Linked DNA regions of Xenopus tropicalis. The protein of the gene in region 1 interacts with the protein of each later gene in a pairwise test. Links are inferred from orthologs where the notes say so. Each region holds a gene or a part of one and is shown in the gene's direction. Other genes may lie near its edges. The genes, in order: atp6v1d and c9orf16.

Evidence for each region.
Region 2: the proteins of atp6v1d (region 1) and c9orf16 interact in binary tests that used the Homo sapiens proteins (3 or more experiments, as listed by UniProt). The two-hybrid records come from large-scale screens. The link is inferred for Xenopus tropicalis from reciprocal best matches to the Homo sapiens genes ATP6V1D and BBLN.

What each region holds. Positions count from the first base shown.
Region 1 is NC_030684.2:119,233,052-119,237,534, forward strand, and holds the start of atp6v1d (V-type proton ATPase subunit D), read left to right. Parts: upstream 1-1,583; 5' UTR 1,584-1,601; coding exon 1,602-1,642; intron 1,643-4,483. UniProt on the Homo sapiens protein: Subunit of the V1 complex of vacuolar(H+)-ATPase (V-ATPase), a multisubunit enzyme composed of a peripheral complex (V1) that hydrolyzes ATP and a membrane integral complex (V0) that translocates protons.
Region 2 is NC_030684.2:22,809,916-22,814,503, reverse strand, and holds c9orf16 (UPF0184 protein C9orf16 homolog), read left to right. Parts: upstream 1-1,737; 5' UTR 1,738-1,821; coding exon 1,822-1,879; intron 1,880-3,290; coding exon 3,291-3,481; 3' UTR 3,482-4,122; downstream 4,123-4,588. Other genes in the region: ptges2 (prostaglandin E synthase 2), read right to left, coding at 1-64, 1,249-1,659. UniProt on the Homo sapiens protein: Essential for intermediate filament organization in intestinal cells, interacts with intermediate filament and regulates intestinal lumen morphology.

The sequences.
Region 1 (4,483 bases):
CACGATGTTCCTTTCCTTACTGACATCACATGTGCAGGGAATTGTGGGATTTGGAGGCTGCAGGCTGAGAACAGTTGACTACGGTTACATTTTGCCAGCCAGATCAGCAGGAGAACAGGGGGCCAGGCTTAGGTAACGGTTCCAAAGGCTGCATATTTTTTTAATTGATGTATATTGCAAAGTTGCTTAAAATTAGGTTTACTTTTCAAAAGGATTAAATTGTGTTTGGATGGAGTTCCTCTTAAGGTGGCCACACACGTGGCGATTTCAGATCTTTTGGTCGCATGAAAGATCGTTCAATCGGCCACTAACGTTTTGGCCCTTATTTGGCTCCTCCGTGAACTTTTATGGTGCTTGTGTTGCTCTCCAAGTCTTTTTACATTTGACTGTGGCTCACGAGTAAGAAAGGTTGGGGACCCCTGTAATAGCCAGTTACTATTTATTGGGGATGTTTGGGCCTCTGTGTACTTCAAGTGCCAGCATCCACCAACTGCTGAGGGCTGCAGATTCAACAACAGCTGGCTGTCAGCAGGTTGAAAGCAATATAATCTGCACTGCTGGCTCTGACTCCTGAAACAATGTAGCACAAGCCAACAGGTAAACAAATCTAGAGGAGAACTGAATTCTGCTACAATGTTCCTACAGTCAGAACCAGAGAACAGTAAAGGCTAAACACTGCTTTAATTCCCGTTACATGTCCCAATAAGTTCAAGTTTCCTGACAATGTGCAATGAATGTAAACTAAGTTACTCAGAACATTATCTTTCATTATAGAAAACACACTTTCTTTTTTAAGGAGAATTCCCCTTTAACAAAGGCCCCAGCAGGGAGATGGTTCTGGGACAGCTAGAAGGCGAGATGTTACCCACCGTACATATACAGCAGCCATAGCACGTTTGTATAAGGGTGGGTAGATCGCTTTAACACGTTTTACAGGAATCTGCAGGGAATTCCCATCCAACTACAGTAGAACCACAACTCCCAGTGTCCCGCGCTAGCCTGTACAGATAGTTATAGAAGGGCGATTCCACGCCGCTAAAGCTCCACAGCAGAGCGGCCAAGGCGGCTATTAGAACAGATACATGAGTCGGAGCCTTACTTGGCTGATGTTCCCTACGATCAAACAGAACGTTGGCACCGGGCGGGCTCCTTCAGCTCACGCCGCACTATTTCATCAGCATGCGTTCCGGCAAAGAACAACACGCATGCGCAACCCCACAACTACAGCGCTGACACCGGAAGCGGAAGTCGGTGCTACCATTACGGGGTTAGGAGGTTACAGGGCGCCATATTGAAGATGGAACATTATCGCTTTAAAATGTTGTTTCGTGTAACTCATATCATATTAAAAAAGGAATACGAATAAAATATTCCGATGTGGGTGCAGAAACCCATAAAACGTCTGACAAGCTAATACAGTTCAAAACGCTCTTCGTGCGCAGGCGCAGCATTTTTCCGTCTGCTGCGGATCACATGACGAGAGATGTTCAGGTGACAGAACCACGCCCTCCCTTCCTGGATCACGTGACAATCTCTCGCTTTCTTGGTTCTGCCGCAGGAATCCGAGTGTCAGTGAGGGGAGAAGCAGATCGCAGGTCAAGATGTCGGGCAAGGACAGGATCGAGGTGTTCCCTTCCAGGATGTAAGTATGGTGATACGGTCAGATATACCCGTGATCGGGGGCTTGGGCATCTGCTGGCGTGGAATTCTGGGATCTGTAGTTCTGCAATAACTAGAGCCACAGATGTCCCTTGTTGGTTATAATCTTTTGGGGTATTTGTCAGTGGGGTTACAGGCAGGCAAATGGCTCATAGGGGTATGTGTTGATGGGGGGATCCCTGTAGTGTATAAAGATATATATAAAATAGATAGATAAATGTGTGTGTGTGATATTCACCCACTGGCTTGGGTTTAGGGTGGGATAGGAACAGATACTAGCAGCAAAGGCAAAGCATTCTGTGTAAGGGTTCAGCTGTTACCTGGGGCCCTTCAGCAACTCCCACTACCTTAATGGATATATAGATTGTAAGCTCTGCAGGGCAGGGACCTCCATCCTCTGTGTCTTTGACTCTTAACTTATTGCAACTGTATCTTGTATTTATCTGTATTTATTGTTATACTTTGTATTTATCTATTATTATTTTAATAACCCCGTTTGTATTAATGTATTCTACTGTACAGCGCTGCGTACATAAGTAGCACTTTATAAATAAAGATATACATACATGCAATGGCAGCTAAAGGCCATCAGTGGGATAGTGGGAGATGCAGTTCAGCAGAGGCCTGAGACATCCTAATTAATGATATACACCCTTTTCCATTTGGGGGGACCAGCACCCCTTGCCCCTGAGCGCCCAGCCATTGCTGCTAGTGAGCCCATGTTAGGCTGGGGGATATGGGAGCTGCTAGCCGGCTGCATAGTACTAGCCAAACCCATGCACTTGTGTCGGCTGGGGAGTGCGGCAGCCTCACTATATACGCACAGTTACACACTCACCCACACAGTTACACACTCACCCACACAGTTACACACTCACCCACACAGTTACACACTCACCCACACAGTTACACACTCACCCACACAGTTACACACTCACCCACACAGTTACACACTCACCCACACAGTTACACACTCACCCACACAGTTACACACTCACCCACACAGTTACACACTCACCCACACAGTTACACACTCACCCACACAGTTACACACTCACTCACACAGTTACACACTCACTCACACAGTTACACACTCACTCACACAGTTACACACTCACTCACACAGTTACACACTCACTCACACAGTTACACACTCACCCACACAGTTACACACTCACCCACACAGTTACACACTCACTCACACAGTTACACACTCACTCACACAGTTACACACTCACTCACACAGTTACACACTCACCCACACAGTTACACACTCACCCACACAGTTACACACTCACCCACACAGTTACACACTCACCCACACAGTTACACACTCACTCACACAGTTACACACTCACTCACACAGTTACACACTCACACAGTTACACACAGTTACACAGTTCACTTGCCTGTGTTTAGCCTGTACGTTCCCCTCCCTGCTCTGTGACTTCCTGAAACTTGTAGTTCCCTAATGGCAGGGAGAAGGTTGTGACTACACACACTGACCTTTCTGCTGATGAAAGGGGATACTGTAAATATGTCTGTGTATATATATATATTTTTTTTTCCTCTTCCCTATATACAGTTATTGCACATTTCCATTATTTCTCTCAGTCAGTCCTTTGCACTGCTGGTTCTGACTATTGAAACAAGCCACTCTTTTAATATATACTAATTCAGCGTCGCTGCTATATAGTCACATAACTAAAATTATATACAAGTAGGGAATCCCTTATCCGGAAACCTGTTATCCAGCCAGAAAGCTCTGAAATACAGAAAACCCGTCTCCCATAGACTCCATTTTAATCAAATAATTTCAAATTTTAAAACTGATTTTCTTTTTCTCTGTAATAATAAAACAGTACTTTGTAGTTGATCCCAACTAAGATATAATTAATCCTTATTGGATGCAAAACAATCCTATTGGGTTTAATTAATGTTTTAGTGATTTTTTGTAGACTTAAGTTATAGAGATTCAAATTACGGAAAGACCCCTTTTCCGGAATACAATTGGTCCTGAGCATTCTGGATAACGGGTCCTATACCTGTAGAATAAATAAGAGCCATGAATATCCTATGAACTACATCTATACAAACAGCGCTCAGTGGTGTCATTTCTGTCACACGACTCGCTGAAAGTTGTGTATTGTAATTAATAATGTACCCCCTCTTGTAAGATATGAGGATATTAGACGTCACCTCGGAGTTCCGTGACCTTAAAATATCCTTATGTTTGACAATACAGGGAGCTTTTATCACTATATAAATGCTATTTGTTGTTATTCAAGAGACAGAGACTCCTGCACTTTGGGGGGGAACTGCCCCCCCAGCCCCCACACATCATTATGTTCCTTGCCAGGAATGTGGCCAGTTTTGAGTTTTTGTCCGGGTGCTCAGTGTAAACAAGCGCTCTGTTTAGGCAACACTGCCTGGCAGCCAAGCAGGAATATACTGGCCCCGGGTTTGGTTCCAGCAAGGAAGGGATGGAGGGAACCGGTAGCAGTCACATTGGGACAAGGGAAAGTGTTTGGTTCACCTGGCTGCTGTGCTTTTCCATAGGCTGCAATAATAACCCCCCGCTGAGTATAACAATGGTGGCAATGCTATTGCTCTCTATGCAGAATGCCTCAGCTGAGCCAAGAAACATGGCAGCCCCCAGGCACAATGTAGGATGTTCATTTAGAAACATTTTGGCAGAGGTTCCTTATCCTGTGTGTGTGCAAAGCCCCCAGTGCTATTAAACTCTCCCAGCAACGCCATACAAAGGCCTAGGGATGTGTATGGCAGCTTCCCATGGGATAGTAAGGTGGGTGCCCGTGTCATT
Region 2 (4,588 bases), about 96 Mb from region 1:
CTTTGCTGCAGAACGGGCAGGTTTTGTACTGGTATAGGGTCAGCTTGAGCGTGCCGTCCGTGGCCTGACAAAACAGGATTCTTGTGAAACAACAACAAATCTGCTTATACGCAAAACAAGGCAGTGCAACCAGTTTCTTTGGTTTCATTTACATCAACAAATAACATGCCTTAGGCTACTGGAACTGGGCATTTTTACCCACTGGCACTAAACAGCAATGGTCAAAGCCTGATATTTCTCCTAATAGTATTATATATAAAACACCCAGTAAAGCACTGACAAGTGGACCTTGGAGCCAGAACACTAACTGAAGCCCGCCAGTCACTGCTCCTTATTTGTACAACAAAGCACCCTTCAAACCAGCTATTCTACTCCTTGTTGGCAGCTTCCCCAGGCTGGGCAGCAGCTTCCAGGACTTCAGGATTCCATCCAATCAGCAAATAGGCTGGCCTGACAGGAAACTGCAGTTCAACTTCACCTGTGTAAATAAAGATCTTATATTGGCTAGCAACATTCTACTGTGCTTCTGGGGAGGGACTGTTAGAACATTGTCCAACAGCAACTGGTAATAGAGACAGACTTCATGTGGAGGAGCACCACAAACCAATCCATACAGACTGCTCTATCAGACCTGTGCATTCTGGGTCTTTGCATACACCGCCCACCAGCAATGCCAGTGACTAGCAGGCCAGTGCCCTGTGCCCTTCTGGGAGCCGCTGTGACGTTTAAGTACTTGGTAAATCCTGGTGCCTTAGCATCTCCATCCTCAGGAAGCACTGTAATTGGTTGCTCTTTAATCAACACAAACTAGAAAGTCACTCTGGGCAGGTTGCATTTCCAGATAGAATGCAAGGGAAATGTGGCGGCAGCATTGAAGGGGAGAAGGTGTCTCAGCTTTTGTTTTTGTGTTTTTTGCCTCTGTGGCTGGGAGACCGACACAGATATCCCCCCTGCCCTGCTTTACCCTAAATCTTGCCCTATCTCGTGCCTAGTGATGTCAGTTGAGTGACATCACTTGACACCAATTCTGACTGATGACATCACTAGGCACCATATAAGGATACATATTACACAGTGACAGAATACAGCCTTTTAGGTCCCCCACCATCCTTAGCATTCATCTGTCACAGCTACAAGGGCCCATAGGGGAAGAGGGGCCCTAGAGCAGTTGTACCCCCGTCCAGTAGTCCCACCAGTGACAATTCATGGCTCATGTATAACATATGTACATATAGTGTATGTTCCTACCTGCTGCTCCTCCTCTGCCCTCTGTTCCCCCAAGGAGGACTGGAGCGCCTGGAATACCCCCAGAGAGCCCCCCAGCACAAAGGCCAAACCCAGCAGCTTCCTAGTCCTTCTGTCTGAGTCCTTCCACCACCCACCGGCTCTAAAGCCCCTCACTACCGGGCAGGTGGGGCCAACTAATGGAAGGTTGCTCTTGCCCACTGCCCTATACAAGGGAAGGTGACTGCGAGTCCCCAGGCTCATGTGAGCCCTGGCACCCAGACCAGACACAATCAGGGACCCACCGCCTGATACCGAGGGGAAAGAAAGACACCGGCCGGTTTGCGCCGCCCCCATTACAACCCCTGTCAAGCGCTGAGGCAGCACAAGCCGCCTAGTGCTTGCCCCAAACAACCCGGCTGTGTACGCAGCCATCTTGCCTCTAGCTACGCCCCGCCCACTACATGCTAGCACCTCCGTACTAACCAGTCGGAAGCACCCTCTTGCGTTTCATTGGTTGCATCTCCGTGACGTCACGCATGCATTCCCAAGGTCACGGGGTTTGGGAGTGACGTGAGAAGGAGAGGTGGGAGCGAAATGTCTGGACCAAACGGGGATCCGGTGGTGCCGCTGGGAGAGGCGACAGGAGATGAAGGTTCGTCATAGTTAGCCATAGCCTGGGCTGGGGGCTCGGAAGGGTAACCCTGACCACATTCTCTCCACATGTTCCTACCGCTGCTTTTAATAGTGATCATCTTTCTAAACCTGACTGAGACGCAATGGCGCTTCTTATTTTACTTGCCCTTGTGGGACCCTATTTTGGCTTCTGTAGCCGTGGGGCTATTGGGGCAAATCTATCTGGGCTCTTTTTCCAGAGCAGTAACTCACAGGGTTCCTATTGGTCACCATTATAAAGGGGGCCTTTACACCAGGGAGAAGTTCTTAATGGTGGGTTTGGGGCTTTGTGACTTGCTGATCAAGGTGCTAGCCCGTCGATATCTCCACTGTATTCATATCATTGACTGTCAGGCAGTGTTAAGCTGGCCCACCAGGATACCAGGAAAACTCCCGGTGGGCCCAGGTATAAGTGGGCCCTCCTGCTCCTTACCATTTGGCCTGCTTTATGCTCATTTCCTATTTCTGAATGGGAACAAAGAGGAGAGACAGATGAAAGAATAGACACTAGCATGTAAATAAAAGAGACTAGGAGAATAAAGAGGTTGGTGAGCAAAAGGCGGAAACATTGTTTGGAAAGCGGGCCTATGGGCTAAGGGTTTTTGGTGGGCCCCTGGGTTCCCAGTCAGGCAACTGCTGTCCGGACACGCTGTAAGGTGTAGGATGGATAACTAAAAGCTTATACTGCCAGAGATCGGCCAGCGCACCAGATTCCCAGATCTGCAGGCCTTTGGGACATGGCAGTTGCGTGTGACGGCTGTACTTGCTGCCAGCCCAGCTGCTCCCCGACCTGGTATATAAATTGGAGTTGCAGGCCGGTCAGTTAGGGGTCTTAAAATGTTCGACCCTTGCATCACTATTTTGCAACCCATTAGCCAACTTTTGTAATATTGTTATAAAGGGAGGTGCACACAGTTCCTTATATCCCTGGTCATGGTTTGTAGGGTGCTGCTCATGATCAAAAACCTATTTGGGGGTGGGATAATGTAAAAAGTGCAGTTATAGGACTGTGGTCCTGCCAATATATAATGCATTTCCCTGATTTTACAGGGAATAATGCACTGAAATAGATATACACCGCACAGTTCTCAAGAATAAGGGGAAAGTGTTAGTAGGGGTTAGATGTTTGGAAATAGAGGGACCGGCCCCCTCGCCCTGCAGGTCTACTATAATGTAATATAATGCCAGTCATGCTTATACAGGGTGATTCTCAATAAGTTTGACACCATTTTTTTTTTTGTTTCCTGAAAACCATAAAATGGAGGTTAGACCTGCAGGGCGAGGGGGAGGTTAGTACATTGGACCCTAGCAACCAGACAGCTGCTCAACATTACTTTAAGGGTAGGCTACCCCTTAGCAGTGCACTACTAACCACTGTGTATTCCCTGTAGATTACGCAGCCTTGGACTTTATGTTGGATCAGATCAATTTCTGCCTGGATCACTTAGAGGAGAAAAATGACCAATTGCATGCACAGCTTCAGGAGTTGCTGGAATCCAACCGCCAGGCCCGGAGGGACTTCCAAATGCAGATACATCAGGATCTGACAAACAGTCCAGACGGGGAGCATTCAGACACGTAACCCACCACCCCGAGCACAAAGGACATCCAAGACGTGGCCAGACTTTCTAGCACAGTGACCACTCTGTAGTCTCTATAAGGTATTCAGATCCCACACAATAAGAGGCACCAGTGCCCGGTCCCTATTGGGAATATTGCATTATTTTATTTGACACAGTGGGGCGGAGTAAAAAAAAAAAAAAACTAAAGAATTACAAGTTTAAAAAAGAAACTGTGTTTTGGGCTGTTGTATGATTGAGCATGCAAAGCAGCCTGTGCTGTCACTGTTGTAGGAAACTGATCTCCTCCTCGCATCTTTATCCCCTTAGGTTCCCCTTTAAAAGGGAAAGACGTACAACTTACACTTGTTAAAATGTTGTCTCTGATGTTGTTTCAGTACTAAATATAGCAGCCAAGCGCTAAGTGATAGCAAGAGGCCTCAGCAATCAATTTATTTATGTTAGTCGTGGAACTTGACCGTTAAAAAAAAGACAACCCATTCCTGTTCTTTGAAACATAGCAATGCACTAATGGGCAGAATTGGACCAATTGCAGTTGCACATGATTATGTTAGTACTGTGTAATTGTGAGCAGTGCCCCCAGGGCGGCGCTGTGTTATTTTCTTTCCAGGGAATTATAAGAATAAAGATCCCTGAATAAAAAGCTGTGCATTTTCTTTTAACACTGTAAGGGGGGCAACAAAGCACCAGGGCTCGCCTGAGCATGCCACGTTGATGAATTTGGACACAAAAGTGTGACCGATTAACGTTTAGTATTTTATACAATGTCCAGTTATTAGCAACTTGTCAGTTGATCTTGTTTTACCATTTCTGCATTATTTAACTTCTTCTGACACTCTCCAGCTTTCAGGGGTTACTGACCCCAGCAGCCACGCAACCATTGTTCTTTCAGTTTTACAGTTTTTTAGTTGCTACAGTTTTATCGTTATTGCTGCTGTTTATTACTTATCTTTCTAATCAGTATCCCCCTTTCTATTCATATTCCAGTCTTTCATTCATGCCACTGCCTTGTTGTCAGGGTAAATGGGACCCTAGCAACCAAAGAGCTGCTAAACAAAAGCTAATTAAAAAAACATAAAAAATGAAGACCAATTTTAATGAAATTCATC